Neurospora crassa OR74A: one gene and its partners. The protein of the gene in region 1 interacts with the protein of each later gene in a biochemical or structural test. Links are inferred from orthologs where the notes say so. Each region holds a gene or a part of one and is shown in the gene's direction. Other genes may lie near its edges.

What was found.
Region 2: the proteins of tom70 (region 1) and NCU00714 form a complex in vitro, tested with the Saccharomyces cerevisiae proteins (2 studies listed by BioGRID). The link is inferred for Neurospora crassa OR74A from reciprocal best matches to the Saccharomyces cerevisiae genes TOM70 and STI1.
Region 3: the proteins of tom70 (region 1) and NCU07414 form a complex in vitro, tested with the Saccharomyces cerevisiae proteins (2 studies listed by BioGRID). The link is inferred for Neurospora crassa OR74A from reciprocal best matches to the Saccharomyces cerevisiae genes TOM70 and YDJ1.

The regions. Positions count from the first base shown.
Region 1 is NC_026505.1:5,339,493-5,345,274, reverse strand, and holds tom70 (outer mitochondrial membrane translocase), read left to right. Parts: upstream 1-2,093; 5' UTR 2,094-2,612; coding exon 2,613-2,804; intron 2,805-2,922; coding exon 2,923-3,892; intron 3,893-3,945; coding exon 3,946-4,419; intron 4,420-4,482; coding exon 4,483-4,721; 3' UTR 4,722-5,327; downstream 5,328-5,782. Other genes in the region: NCU04246 (hypothetical protein), read right to left, coding at 146-257, 327-1,045. UniProt on the Saccharomyces cerevisiae protein: Component of the TOM (translocase of outer membrane) receptor complex responsible for the recognition and translocation of cytosolically synthesized mitochondrial preproteins.
Region 2 is NC_026501.1:7,456,898-7,461,840, forward strand, and holds NCU00714 (heat shock protein STI1), read left to right. Parts: upstream 1-1,242; 5' UTR 1,243-1,526; coding exon 1,527-1,597; intron 1,598-1,666; coding exon 1,667-3,179; intron 3,180-3,241; coding exon 3,242-3,394; 3' UTR 3,395-3,707; downstream 3,708-4,943. Other genes in the region: nic-8 (isochorismatase family hydrolase), read right to left, coding at 4,317-4,943. UniProt on the Saccharomyces cerevisiae protein: May play a role in mediating the heat shock response of some HSP70 genes. It is required for optimal growth of yeast cells at both low and high temperature.
Region 3 is NC_026501.1:6,008,807-6,013,804, reverse strand, and holds the start of NCU07414 (DnaJ family protein), read left to right. Parts: upstream 1-1,297; 5' UTR 1,298-1,614; intron 1,615-1,894; 5' UTR 1,895-2,024; coding exon 2,025-2,060; intron 2,061-2,125; coding exon 2,126-2,195; intron 2,196-2,258; coding exon 2,259-3,089; intron 3,090-3,146; coding exon 3,147-3,454; 3' UTR 3,455-4,674; coding exon of another isoform or gene 4,675-4,998. Other genes in the region: NCU07413 (cytosine deaminase), read right to left, coding at 1-20; NCU07415 (proline iminopeptidase), read right to left, coding at 4,675-4,998. UniProt on the Saccharomyces cerevisiae protein: Probably involved in mitochondrial protein import. Is also required for efficient translocation of pre-pro-alpha-factor. Involved in heme regulation of HAP1, as a component of the high-molecular-weight (HMC) complex.

The DNA.
Region 1 (5,782 bases):
TTGCCCCTGTTCAGCCTCGGTAGCACCGAACGACGATTACAAGCCATATCTTATGGTAACCGCGACTTTCAGAAACGGTATCCTGGCGCAATGAAAGCATCACGGAATCATGCCCTTAACGCTCATCCGCTTGCCATCTCAGGACCTAGCCCAACTTGACCTTTCCAAAGTAGAATCCCCTGCCCCCATTACTCAACCAGCACTCTTCTTCATCAACCAGCGAGTTTGCCCGTACAACCTGCTCAACCGCAATTCCCCTACCCAGGCGCGCCGTTAGCAGAACTGCCCAATAATAATCATCTCATCTCAAAGCAGGAGAAACGCACCTTTCCAAAGCCCATCTCCTCGTAGTTCCCGCATTTCCACCACTTCCCCAATCCCCTTCTGTCTCTCCCTCACCTTCCCCAACCGGCGGTGTCACCCATCTCCCGTCTCTCCAAAAGTACGGCGTGGCAATACTCCCTTCCATCACCTCCCCATCCTCGCTAACAATCAACACCTCCTTCCGATCCGTCAACGCGATCCCGTGCCTCTTTCTCGCTTCGTCGTAGATTTGGCGCTTCGTAGTCTTAAAGTGCGTGTATGCTGACTTTTTGGACCTTTGGGTGTCGACTAGGACCTCGAACGGCGTCGAGGTTCCCATCAGGCATAGACTAGGGATATTGGTACCCGGCTGGGGAAGGGAATTTGGGAAGAAGTTGGCTGTTGAAGGGACTTGTGGTGCTGGTGAGATGGTGATGCCTAGCTCTCCCTTCTCAGAGACGGTTACACGGATGCGGTTTGGGTGAGATCGCTGCTCGTCGGAGAGGGAGGAGAAAATGAAGGAGGAGAGCGTTTCGAGACCGCTGTCACCGGAGAGGAGAGAGACTACGGCGGGCCATTTGAAGTGAGTGGCGGCGCGCAGGATGCGATCGCGATGGTAAGGAAGCATGTACAATGGAGCGAACGGGGAGGATTCAGTGGGAGAGACGAAGCCGGGAAGCAGGAGAGGGTCGTAACGCAGGGTGGTGAAGAGGAGGAGGGGAGCTTCTGTCGTGGTCGCCATTGTGAGGGTGCCTGTCTTTGAAGGTTACCTAGATGGAGGAACAGCATAGACTCGATGGATTAGAGACTCCGAAGAGTGAAGGTGAATGGTGAAGAATACGATATCCGTAATGTATTATCTGTTTTATATGACATGCAATCCAGCTTGCTGACTCATTGCTCTCTGTGGTCGTTTCATGGGGAATATAATGTATAAAATCTATCAGCTTAGGTTTCCTCATACCTGATGGGCCCGATAAATCAACAATCCTTCGCGCCGACATGACCGATGATTGGTAAAAGAAGCCGCCGGTGATGGCAGGAATGAAACATGTAACAAAAAGATACAGACGGATGTATAAACTGAAATCACTGCAGTCCACGAGTCAAGTTCTGTCACAGTTGCATCAAAGACGGCAGCGACAAGGTCTGGACGGGATGACACTGCCCTGATGGTCGAATGGCGGGGCGTTCAACTTTAAAGTGGAACCACCCAAGCTGCCCTGATCCGCTTTTGCTTGACGTACATAAGCGAAGCTTACCCCACCGTGTGCGGTCATTCTTGGCGTTTATTCCATTTCCCCTCGGCTGAGTTGAGAGATATCTCAGCTACGAACGTTGATGAACTTGGGTTAATGGTGGTTGGAGTTATCTGAAATAGAGTATTCTCAGGGCTTATCTAGTCTGTGATAGTAGACAATGTAGAAGTCTTCATTCTTGTTATAAACTTCGACCTCCGTTGTTCCGAAAATCCAAGGGAAAGGGGAATGGATGTTCAGCTCCGAGTAGTCCATGTGTAAACCAACAGTGCTGAGCTGTAAACAGAGGGGATTCAGGCACCAGCTGCCCTGACAAGGCTTGGCAATAGCAGCTTGAAGGAGCTCAGACCACGTCAGCTTTGGAGGTCAACACTGTCTATTTACATCCCATTAGGCCTTAGTTCATGATATGTAATACCGTAGAGGTATGTATGGTAGTTTGTTTGCCGGTTGCCCAGCCGCCAGCCGCACTGCCGCCCGCGTCAAAACAACTTTTTTTTTTTTTTTTTTTTTCTCGCACGACGAAGATCTCGGAGCTTGAGCCCCAGCAGACAGACATTCATACGTCTGCCCATCCACCGACGCCATCGAGCAATTACCAAGCTTGAGGATTCCATTTGCTACTACCTTTTTCAGTGACTGTGCGCGTACCTGTGGACTTATTGTGGACTGCGCTGCCGTGTGCCAAGAGGGAAAACCTGTAGAGGAGTGAAGGAGTACCCCGGGCCCAACCTTGAAGTCCAGTTACGTTGCCGTGGGCTGTGGCCGCCGCCCGCCGCGCTATCCAAGTCCGGGTCCGACCCTTGCGAACGAACCCGCATCATCCACTCAAAAAAATAGAGGAACTTCACTTGGCTTGTTACTTACTGCAATTGAAGCAGTTGCCGGAATCTGTCTCTGAACTTGCCGCCGCCGCCGCCGTCCCTTCGTCTCCTCGATTACCTAGCCTTGCCATTCGGTCGTCTCTCTGCCGACTCCGATCTAGTATATACCCTGATTGTTTACCTTATCTACTAGAGGTTCTCCTACACCCATCACCACATAATAACCATGGCTCCCACCATCCCGCCGCCCTCCGTCCCCATCCCGGCGGCCACGCCCGTCACTGTCCCGGCCGACTCGTCCATCTGGGACCGCGTCTCCAACTGGGTCTCGGAGCACAAGGCTGTTGTCTACACCATTGCTGGTGTTTCCGTCGTCATCACCACCGCCGGTGTTGTCTACTATCTCCGCAAGGGATCAGTACGTTGCATCCTTCTCCCGCGCATCTTCCCGCGTCCCGCGTCTCGCTGCTGCCCTGCGCCCTGCCCAGCTGCATGAGGTCTTCTCGTTTACTAACGTTTGCGCCCACTCCCCCCAGGAGCAGAAGGAGTCCGGCCCCAAGCTCAGCAAGAAGGAAAGGAGGAAACGGAAGCAGGCCGAGAAGGGGGAGGCCGAGAAGGCTTCTACTTCCAAGACAGAAGAGGCCGCTCCCACACAACCCAAGGCCGCCGCCGTCGAGAGCGCCGACGAGCTGCCCGAGATCGATGAGGAATCCGTCGTCAGGCTATCCGAGGACGAGCGCAAGGCGTACGCCGCCAAGCTGAAGGAGCTCGGAAACAAGGCCTACGGTTCCAAGGACTTCAACAAGGCCATCGACCTTTACTCCAAGGCCATCATCTGCAAGCCCGACCCCGTCTACTACTCCAACCGCGCCGCTTGCCACAATGCCCTCGCCCAGTGGGAGCAGGTTGTCGCCGATACCACCGCCGCTCTCAAGCTCGACCCCCACTACGTCAAGGCCCTGAACCGCCGTGCCAATGCCTACGACCAGCTTAGCCGCTACAGCGACGCTCTCCTCGACTTCACTGCCAGCTGCATCATCGACGGCTTCCGCAACGAGCAGAGCGCCCAGGCCGTCGAGCGCCTCCTCAAGAAGTTCGCCGAGAACAAGGCCAAGGAAATCCTCGAGACAAAGCCTCCCAAGCTCCCCAGCTCCACCTTTGTTGGCAACTACCTCCAGAGCTTCCGCTCCAAGCCCCGCCCCGAGGGTCTCGAGGACTCTGTTGAGCTCTCCGAGGAGACCGGTCTTGGTCAGCTGCAGCTTGGCTTGAAGCACTTGGAGAGCAAGACTGGTACTGGTTATGAGGAGGGCTCCGCCGCCTTCAAGAAGGCCCTCGACCTCGGCGAGCTCGGTCCTCATGAGGCTCTTGCCTACAACCTCCGTGGTACCTTCCACTGCCTCATGGGCAAGCACGAGGAGGCTCTCGCCGATCTCAGCAAGTCCATCGAGCTCGACCCTGCCATGACCCAGAGCTACATCAAGCGTGCTAGCATGAACCTTGAGCTCGGTAAGTCTTTGTCTTCAACTGTTAACTTGGACCTGTGCTAACCCCTTTTATAGGTCACCCCGACAAGGCCGAGGAGGACTTCAACAAGGCCATTGAGCAGAACGCCGAGGACCCTGATATCTACTACCACCGCGCCCAGCTCCACTTCATCAAGGGGGAGTTCGCCGAGGCTGCTAAGGATTACCAGAAGTCCATCGATCTCGACTCCGACTTCATCTTCTCCCACATCCAGCTTGGTGTCACCCAGTACAAGATGGGCTCCATTGCCTCTTCCATGGCCACCTTCCGCCGCTGCATGAAGAACTTCGACCAGACCCCCGATGTCTACAACTACTATGGCGAGCTTCTTCTCGACCAGAACAAATTCCAGGAAGCCATTGAGAAGTTCGATACCGCGATCGCCCTCGAGAAGGAGACCAAGCCCATGTGCATGAACGTTCTCCCCCTCATTAACAAGGCTCTTGCCCTCTTCCAGTGGAAGCAGGATTATGCCGAAGCTGAGCAGCTCTGCGAGAAGGCCCTCATCAGTAAGATAGCCCCCATTTCAAACCAAATTATCATATCTTGTGTGCTAACATGAATGATTCCAGTCGACCCCGAGTGCGACATTGCCGTCGCCACCATGGCCCAGCTCCTCCTCCAGCAGGGCAAGGTCGTCGAGGCCCTCAAGTTCTTTGAGCGTGCCGCCGAGCTCGCCCGCACCGAAGGCGAACTTGTTAACGCCCTTTCCTACGCCGAGGCCACGAGGACACAGATCCAGGTACAGGAGAACTACCCCGAGCTGGCCAGCAAGCTCCAGGGCATGAGCGGTGGTCCCGGCATGCGGTAAAAGCATGTCAAGATTACTCTAGCAGCATAAAAAAGGAAGAGAAATAAAGAAAGCGATGAAGTTTTGAAACGAAGTAGAAAAGCAGTGTGTTGTACATTAAAAAGGGTTCATTTTTGGTTGTTGCTACTGCTGTAACGGTGTAAGGAGATTGAGGATGTCTGTTGGCGGTAAGGAGACGCGGGAATGGATGGATGGTGTTTTACATAGGTTGGCCTGGATGGGATAGGATGTAATGCTTTTTTTTTAATACTTCTCTCTCTTCTCCCTCTCTCTCTGTCTCTCGATTCCACACGACCTCATCACTACACATCACGATCATCGTCATCATCATCACCATCAATCCATTATCATCATACATCATGTTATGTCATGTTACGCTTCGGGGGTCAAATTGGCATTTGATTTTGGTTGAATATGGAGTTGATTTCAATGCTCTTCTCTCTATCTGCTTTTATGGGCCAACTCTACAGATGGGGAGTTCGGTATGTTCGTAATTATATGACGAATTAGTATGTTGTATATACTCACCTTGGAGTTGTAGTAAACGAGCTTAAATACGCTGAACAACACAAAACAAACGAGAATGAAGATGAAGATGAAAATGAAACATGGGTATCGATAAAAACCAACGTGGGACATCCGTACGGGGTGATTTCTCGGGGCCTCCTCCGAGTCACCTTTCATATTAAAAGTTAGACTCAAATTCTAAGCAACCCCAGAAACAGCCAATCTCAACACCCCCCCACCCCCAAAATAAAAAGAGAAAATTTTTAAAGAAAAAAAAAAACCCTTAGAAACAAGCCCAACCACCGATTCCCGGCGTCTCTTCTTTTTTTTTTTTCTCTCTTTTTTCTTTAGGTCTTTCCCACTCTCCAACTACCTGCTATTCTTCGAAATCCCAGCCACTTACTTTACTGACGATACATGCCCTCCCTCCTCTACACAGGTAAGATCAAGATCCGGCACAAACCCACCCACCATCGTTTCGCTGACCCTTTCTTTTCCAATACGTACGTACGTACGTAGATCACTTTTCTTTTTACCACCTACCTACCATATAT
Region 2 (4,943 bases), on another chromosome or scaffold:
TGAGGTCAAAGCCCATGGGTGACATAATGACAACCAGCGGGAGCGTTCAAATACTCCCGGCAAGCAAAGAGTTCAACAACTCGGTCTTCCTTGTATGCCATACGAGTTTCCAGCAATGCGCAAAAGCCGCCCCATCACTCAAGCCCAGATGAGATAGCATACGATCTACCGGCCACGAACCCAATAGTAGACGGATGTTTGATCATGGCGAATTGAGCTAACAACGTGTGAGGCTGATCCAACATATTCGGGTTTACCTAAAGCTTCAGTTCAATGCTCGTACTCATGGTCCAATAGCCGTATCTGCCTGAACCGGGCCCTTAGGTAAGGAAGACGGATTTCTCAGACGACAGAAGGTGGTTATGAGAGGTGTTGACGTAAGGAGCGTGTCATTCGAGCATGACTCCCAGTCTGTGCCAACACACGGATAAGAGAGGACAGGGACAGAGCTGGTATGAAGCAGTTGGGGATATGTGGCGCTGAGGAGAACTCGTCCACCGACTTCAAAGCATCAGAAGCATCATGTCCTCGGGCTTTGAGAGACTATTGACCCGAGAATATGCGCCGGCTTGTCCTCGCCCTGCTTTTCGGTGCCGGTAGACGTCCTCTCTATCGATGAGCACAAGGGATGGGCTGAGGACCTTCGCGATGCTTACCCAGACATGATTGAGGTTGTCTGTGGAGTCTGGCCACATACACTAGCTATTTCTCGGCTGCCTGCTGCGATACCGAATAGGAGGTGGACAGGAGAAAATTCCCATCGTAGGAAGTGTTGCACTACCCTATTAAGTATTGCCTGATGAATGGTTAGAAAGCCCAAGGCGCGCCCATTTCTCGGGGCAATGCAGGCGGCCGTGTCCAGGTTATAGGCTTGAAGGTAAGTGAGCTGAACTGGTGGCAAGCGTCGACCTGATCCCGAAGTAGAGTCGAAGTGAAACAGAATCACTACCGCTCTCTCTGAAGGACCTCCAGGGTGTTTTTCCGGTGACGCTGGCCGTTCTCAGCCCGGGTACTTCTACGGACGAGACACCGCATCGGCCTCGACCATGACAACCTAAGGTCGATGCGGGGGTCGGACCTCAGCTGTCAGCGGGGTCATTAGGTACATAGACGGCAGCCGAGCAGCCTCAAAAGAGGGGCACCTGCCACCCTGAAAGACGCAGTTGGCGGGGGAGCTGTAGTGTACTCCAGTGCTCAACGATACCATCCAATCACAAGCCGACTTGACCATCGAAAGGCATCGAAGGTCCAGAGCTTTCCATTCCCTTTCCACGACAGAAGGCCGCCCGCCCAGGCCGCTGCCGTTTCCAGTCATGTCGCGCCCTCTTTCTCCCCGTGAATAAATCTGGTGATCCTTCAGCCTGATTCCCGACGAAGCCTCTTTCCTGGGCACTGACATCCAATTCCGTGATACCCAAAAGCAAGATTCTGTAACGCACCAGTTTGCACTCCCCGTCGCATTTCTTCTATCCCGAGATACCCATATCACCTTCAGAAATCATTAATACAAGTAACCACACACCATAATGTCGACCGCGGACGAGCTCAAGGCTCTTGGCAACAAGGCCATTGCCGAGAAGAACTTTGACGAGGCCATGTAAGCTCTACCGCCGATATCACATACATCCATGTCAGCTATCCACTGACACTAGCTGTCCCTTTACAGTGACAAGTTCACACAAGCCATTGCCCTCGACCCTAGCAACCACATCCTTTACAGCAACCGTTCCGCCGCGTACGCTTCCAAGAAGGACTGGGACAATGCTCTCAAGGATGCCGAGAAGACCACCGAGATCAAGCCTGACTGGCCCAAGGGCTGGGGCCGCAAGGGCACAGCGCTCTTCGGCAAGGGTGACCTGCTGGGCGCAAACGATGCTTACGAGCAGGGCCTCAAGATTGATCCCAACAATGCTGGCATGAAGAAGGATTTTGAGGCTGTTCAGCGCGCCATGCAGCAGGAGGCTGGCGGCGGTGACCTCAGCGGTGGTATTGGCCAGATGTTCGCCGATCCCAACCTCATCCAGAAGCTCGCCGGCAACCCCAAGACGGCTGCCTTCCTCTCCGACCCGGCATTCATGGCCAAGCTCCAGGCTGTCAAGCAGAACCCTTCGAACGCGCAAGATCTCTTCTCCGACCCCAGGATGATCCAGGTCCTTGGTGTCCTGATGGGTGTAGACATGGAGTTGAGGGACTCGGACGTGCCCCCTGGAGCCCCCCAGGAGGACGTCAACATGACTGATGCCCCGGCCCCTAAGCAGGAGACGCCACCAAAGCCCAAGACGCCCGAGCCCGAGCCCGAGCCGGAGCTGGATGAGGAGGAGTTGGAGAAGAAGAAGGCCAAGGAGGCGGCCGACAAGGAAAAGGCCCTTGGTACCGAGTGCTACAAGAAGCGCAACTTTGATGAGGCCATCAAGCACTACCAGGCCGCTTGGGACTTGTACAAGGACATTGTGTACCTCAACAACCTTGGCGCCGCCTACTTTGAGAAGGGCGACTACCAGGCTTGCATTGACACCTGCAAGAAGGCTGCCGAGGAGGGTCGTGCTCGTTATGCCGACTTCAAGGTCATTGCCAAGTCGCTTGCGCGCATTGGTTCTGCCTACGAGAAGCTGGGTGATCTTACCAATGCGATTGAATACTACAACCAGAGTCTGCGCGAGCACCGTACCCCTGAGGTCATCAGCAAGGTGCGCGCGGCTGAACGCAACAAGATCGAGGCTGCCCGCAAGGCCTACATTGACCCCGTCAAGGCCGAGGAGGCTCGTGAGGAGGGTAACAAGAAGTTCAAGGAGATGGACTGGCCCGGCGCCGTTGCTGCCTACTCCGAGATGATCAAGCGTGCTCCGGATGACCCCCGCGGCTACAGCAACCGTGCTGCTGCTTTCATGAAGCTCCTCGAGTTCCCTAGCGCCCTTGAAGACTGCGAGACGGCCATCAAGAAGGACCCCAAGTTCATCCGTGCTTACATCCGCAAGGCTCAGATCTACTTTGGCATGCGCGAGTACAGCAAGTGCGTTGACGCCTGCACCGAAGCCCGCAAGATCGATGCCGAGTACCACAATGGCGCCAACGCTCGTGAGATTGAGCAGCTGGAGCAGAAGGCCTTCAACGCCATGTATGCGGCTCGCGAGAACGAGACCGAGGAGCAGACAAGGGAGCGTCTGGCGCGTGATCCTGAGGTATGTCATATCGTAATACCAGATTCACTGTTTGCAACATATACTAACATATTCGCGTTCAGATCATGGGTATCATGTCCGATCCTGTCATGCAGGCCATCCTCCAGCAGGCTCAGTCCGACCCTGCCGCTTTGGCCGAGCACATGAGGAACCCCAACGTCAGGACCAAGATCCAGAAGCTTATCGCTGCTGGCGTCATCCGCGTTGGCCGGTAAAACAGAACAAAAAAATGAACGAAAGGGGATCAAAAAGGGGCATTGGTTTGGCCGGGGATCATAGCATTGGCGCTTGGGAACGAAGGTCGGAATGGCGTGGGTTTCTTGAACACACATTTACTCCCGTTTGAATGGGAAATCATACCATCCCTTAATGAATTGCATGAGAAATGACAATTTATCTTTATCACTTTCTTGTACAGTAAATTCCATTCATGTCATTAGGGTTAGGGAGACGATTTGTCAACATTTCGTGTGTAGTTTCACGAGCGCACAAGGGCATGGAGTCTCTTTTTGCCCGCTTACTTCTTGGAACTTTGTTGACTCCATGTGTCCAACCACGAATTCGACACCGTAGTAGGCGGGAGACTCCGAGTACCTCTTGGTTTTTTTTTTTTTTTTTTTTTTCTTTTTTTTTTTTTTTAAATCCGCGTTGAGCGGGATGCCGAATACTAGGCAGTGTACTGACACATGGCAAAGCTTCCCCTTCAAATCGCCATGATATTGCACAACACATGTCGGTATCTGCTCGTCATCTTCCTGAAAGGGTATCAAGAATGTATCGCTAAGAGCGCTCATCGCTAAGCCTAAACAAAGTCAGCTATAATCGGCCGTGGAATGAAAATGAAAACAAATAAACAATCTAAAGCTCGTAACGCAACGCAACGCAACGCAACGCAACGCAACGCAGGCGCCGAAGCAACGCAGTATCCGCCCTGAAGCATGGCCGCCATGCCATGCCTGTGCACTGCATGTTGTCATGCTCCCGTTGAACGACCGAGCAGCCAACGCTGCATATAAGGTACCTCTTCACCCGCCTACAAAAGCACAACAAAAAGCCAAAGCCTTTTCCCGCTGACCTCGTCCATCCCCGCCAGCAGTTCCAGTTTCAATTTTCCTCCCTCCCTTTCCTTCCACCTCCTCAAATCTTCTCCTCCTCCTCCTCCTCCTCCACTACCTCCTCGTCATTCCCAGCACCGACAGTTGTTGTCACCAAACCCCCAGGAAACAGCCTTCTAACCTCCTCTCCCTCCCACCTCACAACCCTCACCCCCGGCTCCCCCACAAGCGCCTCCTTACACCTCCTCCACCCGTCCTCATCAACAGGCTTCGTCGCCTCCTCCACCACCACCGTCTCAAACCCTTCGTTATGTGCATCCATCGCCGTGCTCCACACGCAATAATCGGCCGCCAGCCCCACCACATAGACGTGCGTTACCTTGGCCTCCCTCAACATGTGTGCGAGGCCCGAATCGCTCACGCGGGGTGAGGTGAAGGGGTCGTAAAAGGCCGAGTACATTTCGACAAGGCGGTTGGTTCCCTTTTCGAGGATCTGGTCGATTTTGGAAACGTCCAGCTCGGGGATGAGGCTAGCGCCGGGGGTGTCGGCGATGCAGTGCGAGGGCCAGAGGCGGGTAGTGTAGGACTCGGAGGGGTTGTGGGGGTTGTGGACGGTGGTGGTGGACAGGAAGGGGATGGCGGCTTTTCCGGAGGAGTCAGGGCAGCAGGGGGATGGGGAGGAGGCGTGGTTGTGGTTGGAGGCGAAGGA
Region 3 (4,998 bases), on another chromosome or scaffold:
AGACCGGCAGCATCATCCATGATGGAGGAATTTAGGGAGGTCAAATAAGAGGTATGCTATGTAAGAGGGCTGAGAGAACTTTGGAGTGCAGAAGGTAGGTAGCTATGGTCTGGAAGAGATAACTTTTCCAGAAGTACCACCGTGATGTTGTCACTCGACTTCAACTCGCCAAGTTCCCATTTTCCACGTTTGATGAACATCAGGCTGATTGAATATGTGACCTAAGACACCTTATCTCCCTGGTATCTCCGTGGTATTGGTGTATACCTATCTAGCCTTTGTAGCAGACCCCCCACTTCCGAGATGTCACTCAGTGCGATAAGGTGCTGTTTGCGAGGGTAACCATTTAGTTTCATATCAAACTGCCATTGAACCGGTGTACTGTAGGCATTTGAAAAAAAAAAAAGAAAAAAAGAAAAAAAGAAAAAAGAAAGAGAGAGAGAGAGAGACAAAAGAGAAAGGCATCTGAGCTAGGACACCTCGGTAAGGCACAGATGCTGAGGCTATATAATTCATGGATCTTAATGATTTGATCCCGAGTATCTCCTCTTGAACCACAGATAGACGCTCCGAGTCTTTTTGGTGATCGATAAGCAAAGCAGCAGCGCACGTCATTCTCGCTTGCTTCACCTGGAATTCTCTAGATGAAAGGTAAACCCTTATGAGAAGCTGCCCCGCGACGAGTGGTTGAAGGGGGTTGAAAAACCGAGGGGCAAAAGGCGACCTCAAGATGTTAGTGGGGGTTGTTGGGAAGCGGAACGCCTGCAGGGTTTCGAGCGGACGCCAACTCGGATCCAGACGAGACAACATCACCAACAACCCAATCAGAGGACATGCATGCTGCCTTGTAAAAAGAAGATAAAATGCCTAGTGTAAAGATGGTGTGCGTTTTTACAGTTTTATCAAAGGTACATATGCACCATGTTTTGCATGATTGCGTGCGGTTAAAATAAAAGTTGAAAGTTGGGCATTGGTCACTGTCACATTGGAGCGCACCAGCCACGATCGACAGGGTCCTCCAAGGTCAACCGAATTTCCATCTGCATCTCCTGAGGCTAGATCCTCTCAATGAGTGATAAAGAGGTACTTTGGGATGAGTGTGGGGAACCTGGTCACCTCTCACCTCGCACGCCCTCTTCGCAACCCTGCAGGAGCGGGACGAGGAAGTAGCTCATTACTGGCCCCCATATCTGTCAGCCACACTCTAGAGCTTTCGATTGATTTCCATGAGAGGGGCTGGAGAAGAACTCACTGGGCCAGTCACCCACTTCAGCCTCCTTTGCCGTTCCGGGCCTCCCCCCAACGCACAAGGCGCCCGCCGCATCCCTCCCTCTGCGCCTATTCCAGAATTGCAGTGAAGATTCCGGTTCTGTTGCCCTGCCTTGGTTGATAATATTTGAACCCTGCTGCCGGTACTTGGACAGTTTTCTCGAGAAAGTTGATCAGTCATTCCGTTATACCCCATCTTCCGTCTTGCGTGTTGCTACTACAACTACGCCTCATCAAGCCTCCTATCACTCCCAACTATCCTCCGGCGACTCAAATCCCGTACCTTATCAACTATTTTCATCTCGGACGCTTCCTGCTGCTGTCACTGTAGCTCAAGCTGTTCTGGTAGGTCCATCCCTGTTTCTGTCCGTTCCTGTTCTGCGCTTCTTTCTCGGTGCCCTGGACCAGCAAGCGAGGCCTGGAAGTCCCCAACTTCTGCCAAACCAACCCCGACTCGGGACCCCGTCGGCCTTTCCCAACCCTTTGCGCAAAAAGATCTTTCTCTTCCACCGTTGTCCACCACCACTCTTCATTTGCACCAGCCATTCATTGTCTCCTCTCGACTCCATCTCCATTATTCTCGACACGACCTCGCAGCCGCTGACCTTATCTGTCTTCCCATCAGACCACGATTTCTTAACGGCCCTGACACATTCCCATATCCGTCATTGTCATCGGAACTGATTGTCCAGAGCATTCCGAACTGCCAGAACATTTTCCCACACCCATTCACATAACTAGACCAGACAGTCAAGATGGTCAAGGAAACAAAGCTCTACGAGACTCTTGGAGTAAGTTCTGCTGCTTACCGATACCCCTCGCCTGACAGAGGAGGCCCCCTAACGCCCATATTTAGGTCAGCCCAGATGCCACTGAGGCGCAATTGAAGAAGGCATACAAGACCGGTGCCCTTAAGTACCACCCAGGTATGTTCCGCCTTCCCTGCAACACGCGCAGCCAGAAGGCTTACTGACCACAAAACACTACAGACAAGAACGCCAACAACCCGGCTGCCGAGCAGAAGTTCAAGGAGATTTCTCACGCATACGAAATTCTTTCCGACTCCCAAAAACGCGCCATCTACGATCAGTATGGCGAGGCTGGTCTTGAGGGTGGCGCCGGTGCCGGTGGCGGCATGGCTGCCGAGGATCTGTTCGCTCAGTTCTTCGGCGGCGGTGGCTTCGGCGGCGGTCTCGGTGGTATGTTCGGCGGTATGAACCAGCAGCGTGCCCCCGCGAAGGCCAAGACTATTCACCACACCCACCACGTCTCGCTTGAGGACATCTACCGCGGCAAGATCTCCAAGCTGGCCCTTCAGCGGTCAATCCTTTGCCCCAAGTGCGAGGGTCGCGGCGGTAAGGAAGGTGCCGTCAAGCGGTGTGCTGGCTGCGATGGTCAGGGTACCAAGATCATGATGAGGCAGATGGGCCCCATGATTCAGCGCTTCCAGACCGTCTGCCCTGACTGCAATGGCGAAGGCGAGGTAATCAAGGAGAAGGATCGTTGCAAGCAGTGCAATGGCAAGAAGACCGTTGTCGATCGCAAGGTCCTCCACGTCCACGTTGACCGTGGCGTTAAGAGCGGCACCAAGGTCGAGTTCCGTGGTGAGGGTGACCAAGCACCTGGCATTCTCCCCGGTGACGTCGTCTTCGTCATCGAGCAGAAGCCCCATCCCCGCTTCACCCGTCAGGAGGATGATCTTCTTTACAAGTGCGAGATCGATCTCGTGACCGCCCTTGCCGGTGGAACCATCTACATCGAGCATCTCGATGAGCGCTGGTTGAGCGTCGACATCCAGCCCGGCGAGGCTATTGCGCCCAGTAAGTGTTCTTCTGTCCGGCTACATTATGCATCAGCAAGCGCTAACAGCAAGATAGACTCCGTCAAGATGATTCGTGGCCAGGGTATGCCCTCCTACCGCCACCACGATTACGGCAACATGTATATCCAGTTTTCCGTCAGGTTCCCCGAGAAGAACTGGACTCAGGATCCCGCTGCCTTCGAGGCTCTTCGCAAGTACCTCCCGGCCCCCGCTGTTGTCAACGTACCCCCTCAGGATGCTATGACCGAGCCAGCAGAATTGGAGGACGTCGAGGGCAACGGAGCCGGCCGTGGCTTCTCCAACAGCCCTATGGAGGAGGATGACGAGCCTCAGGCCGAACGCGTACAGTGCGCCTCGCAGTAAGCGAGCTAAATGGGCGGGGAAGCAGTACCAACCTTATCCATAATTCGACGATAAATTGCGGCACAAGCGACGGTCCAACAAAGCGTGCCATGCACGACATTGTTTGAGACTTGCTATGGAGGATGAATGATTTGCAACGATTCTAAATCATTTCATGTCTCTTGTCCCCATGATCATCCTTAACGAAGCAAATATACCCGATTACTCGACTCATTATCGAGTATTGCACATTTGACGAGGCACGATATTTGAGGGGCCGACAAAACGAAGAGTTGGAGAAGGGAACAAAAAGGGGGTATGATGCAAGGTGAAAACCGGTAATACCTGAAGTGTGATCAAGTCGGCACGGGTGGAAGGGATACGATCACACTTATCCACACAGCACCCGGATTATCACTATCACGGTGGAAGAAGAGGGTTCAATCTCGTTGTTTGATGTTCCCCCTATTTCACCTGCGTTTAATGACATGGTGGACTTTTACTTCTATCGATGTCAAAATATATCAACACCCGGTCTTATTGGCAGGCGTTCTAGAGAGGATATCGGACTGATAGAAAAGAAGGATGAAGGGCATGGACATGGCATTACCGTCTTATCCCGGCTATTTGCTTCATATGAAGGACACAGGAAGGTCATGTAGCATGAGAAAGGAACAGGGGGGGACTACTCAGTACATGCTCATGCTACGCGTATCACATGATTGCTGCTCACCTGGATCCAGGAAGAAAGGGGGAAGGGGAGCTGGATTTTGTTTTATTTTTTTCTGGGATTGTTAGCGAAATGATCAGGATTCCTGAATGCCATATTTCGTTTCATTGGCGAACTGCATGTTGTTATGTTGTGGTCATTAGATATAGGCTGCCGACGAGCTCCTAGCGTACCCATCCAGTGTACTCACAGTCTTTAAGACCGCGTGCGTGTAAATTCGCCATTCAAGGCAAATCGGACATGATTTTGAGCATCTGAGACCGGAGCAACACGTCAATTTTCCAAACCAAACATCAGCCTCCTGGGGGCCAGTTAGGGCACCTCTCGTTGGTCGTGAAGACTCAAGTAAATATGAACCTCATCTCCCCGATCGTGTGATACCAGTATCAAAAGCACACGTCCTCGCCAACATCTCACCAAATTCAAAACAAAAGGGAATTTGTCTTCATCAAGAATCTTAACATCCACGCCAAACCGGCAACGAGCTGAAATCCCCGACAACCACTCACGCTTAATCGAGGGTATCATCCCTCAACTTGAACAACTGCCCCAGAACCTCGTCGGTCTTGGCCCTCAACGCTCCGTGATACATCACGTTCGTCTCAAACACCTTGGTCCCTCTAACCGCCTTGGCCGTCTCCCTTGCAAAGTCCGCGTCGACATACATGTCCTCAACATAACTAGCCGCGTAGACAGGGACTTCGTTCCGCGCAAGCTGGTCCAGGTCGTAGAGCCGCGGCCAGTCGTCGTGCTTGGCCAGAAGCTCGGCCGTCTCCTTCATGTCCTTTAGCTCTGGGTAGCAATCGAAGTGGGCAGGGTAGACCATTTCGCCAGA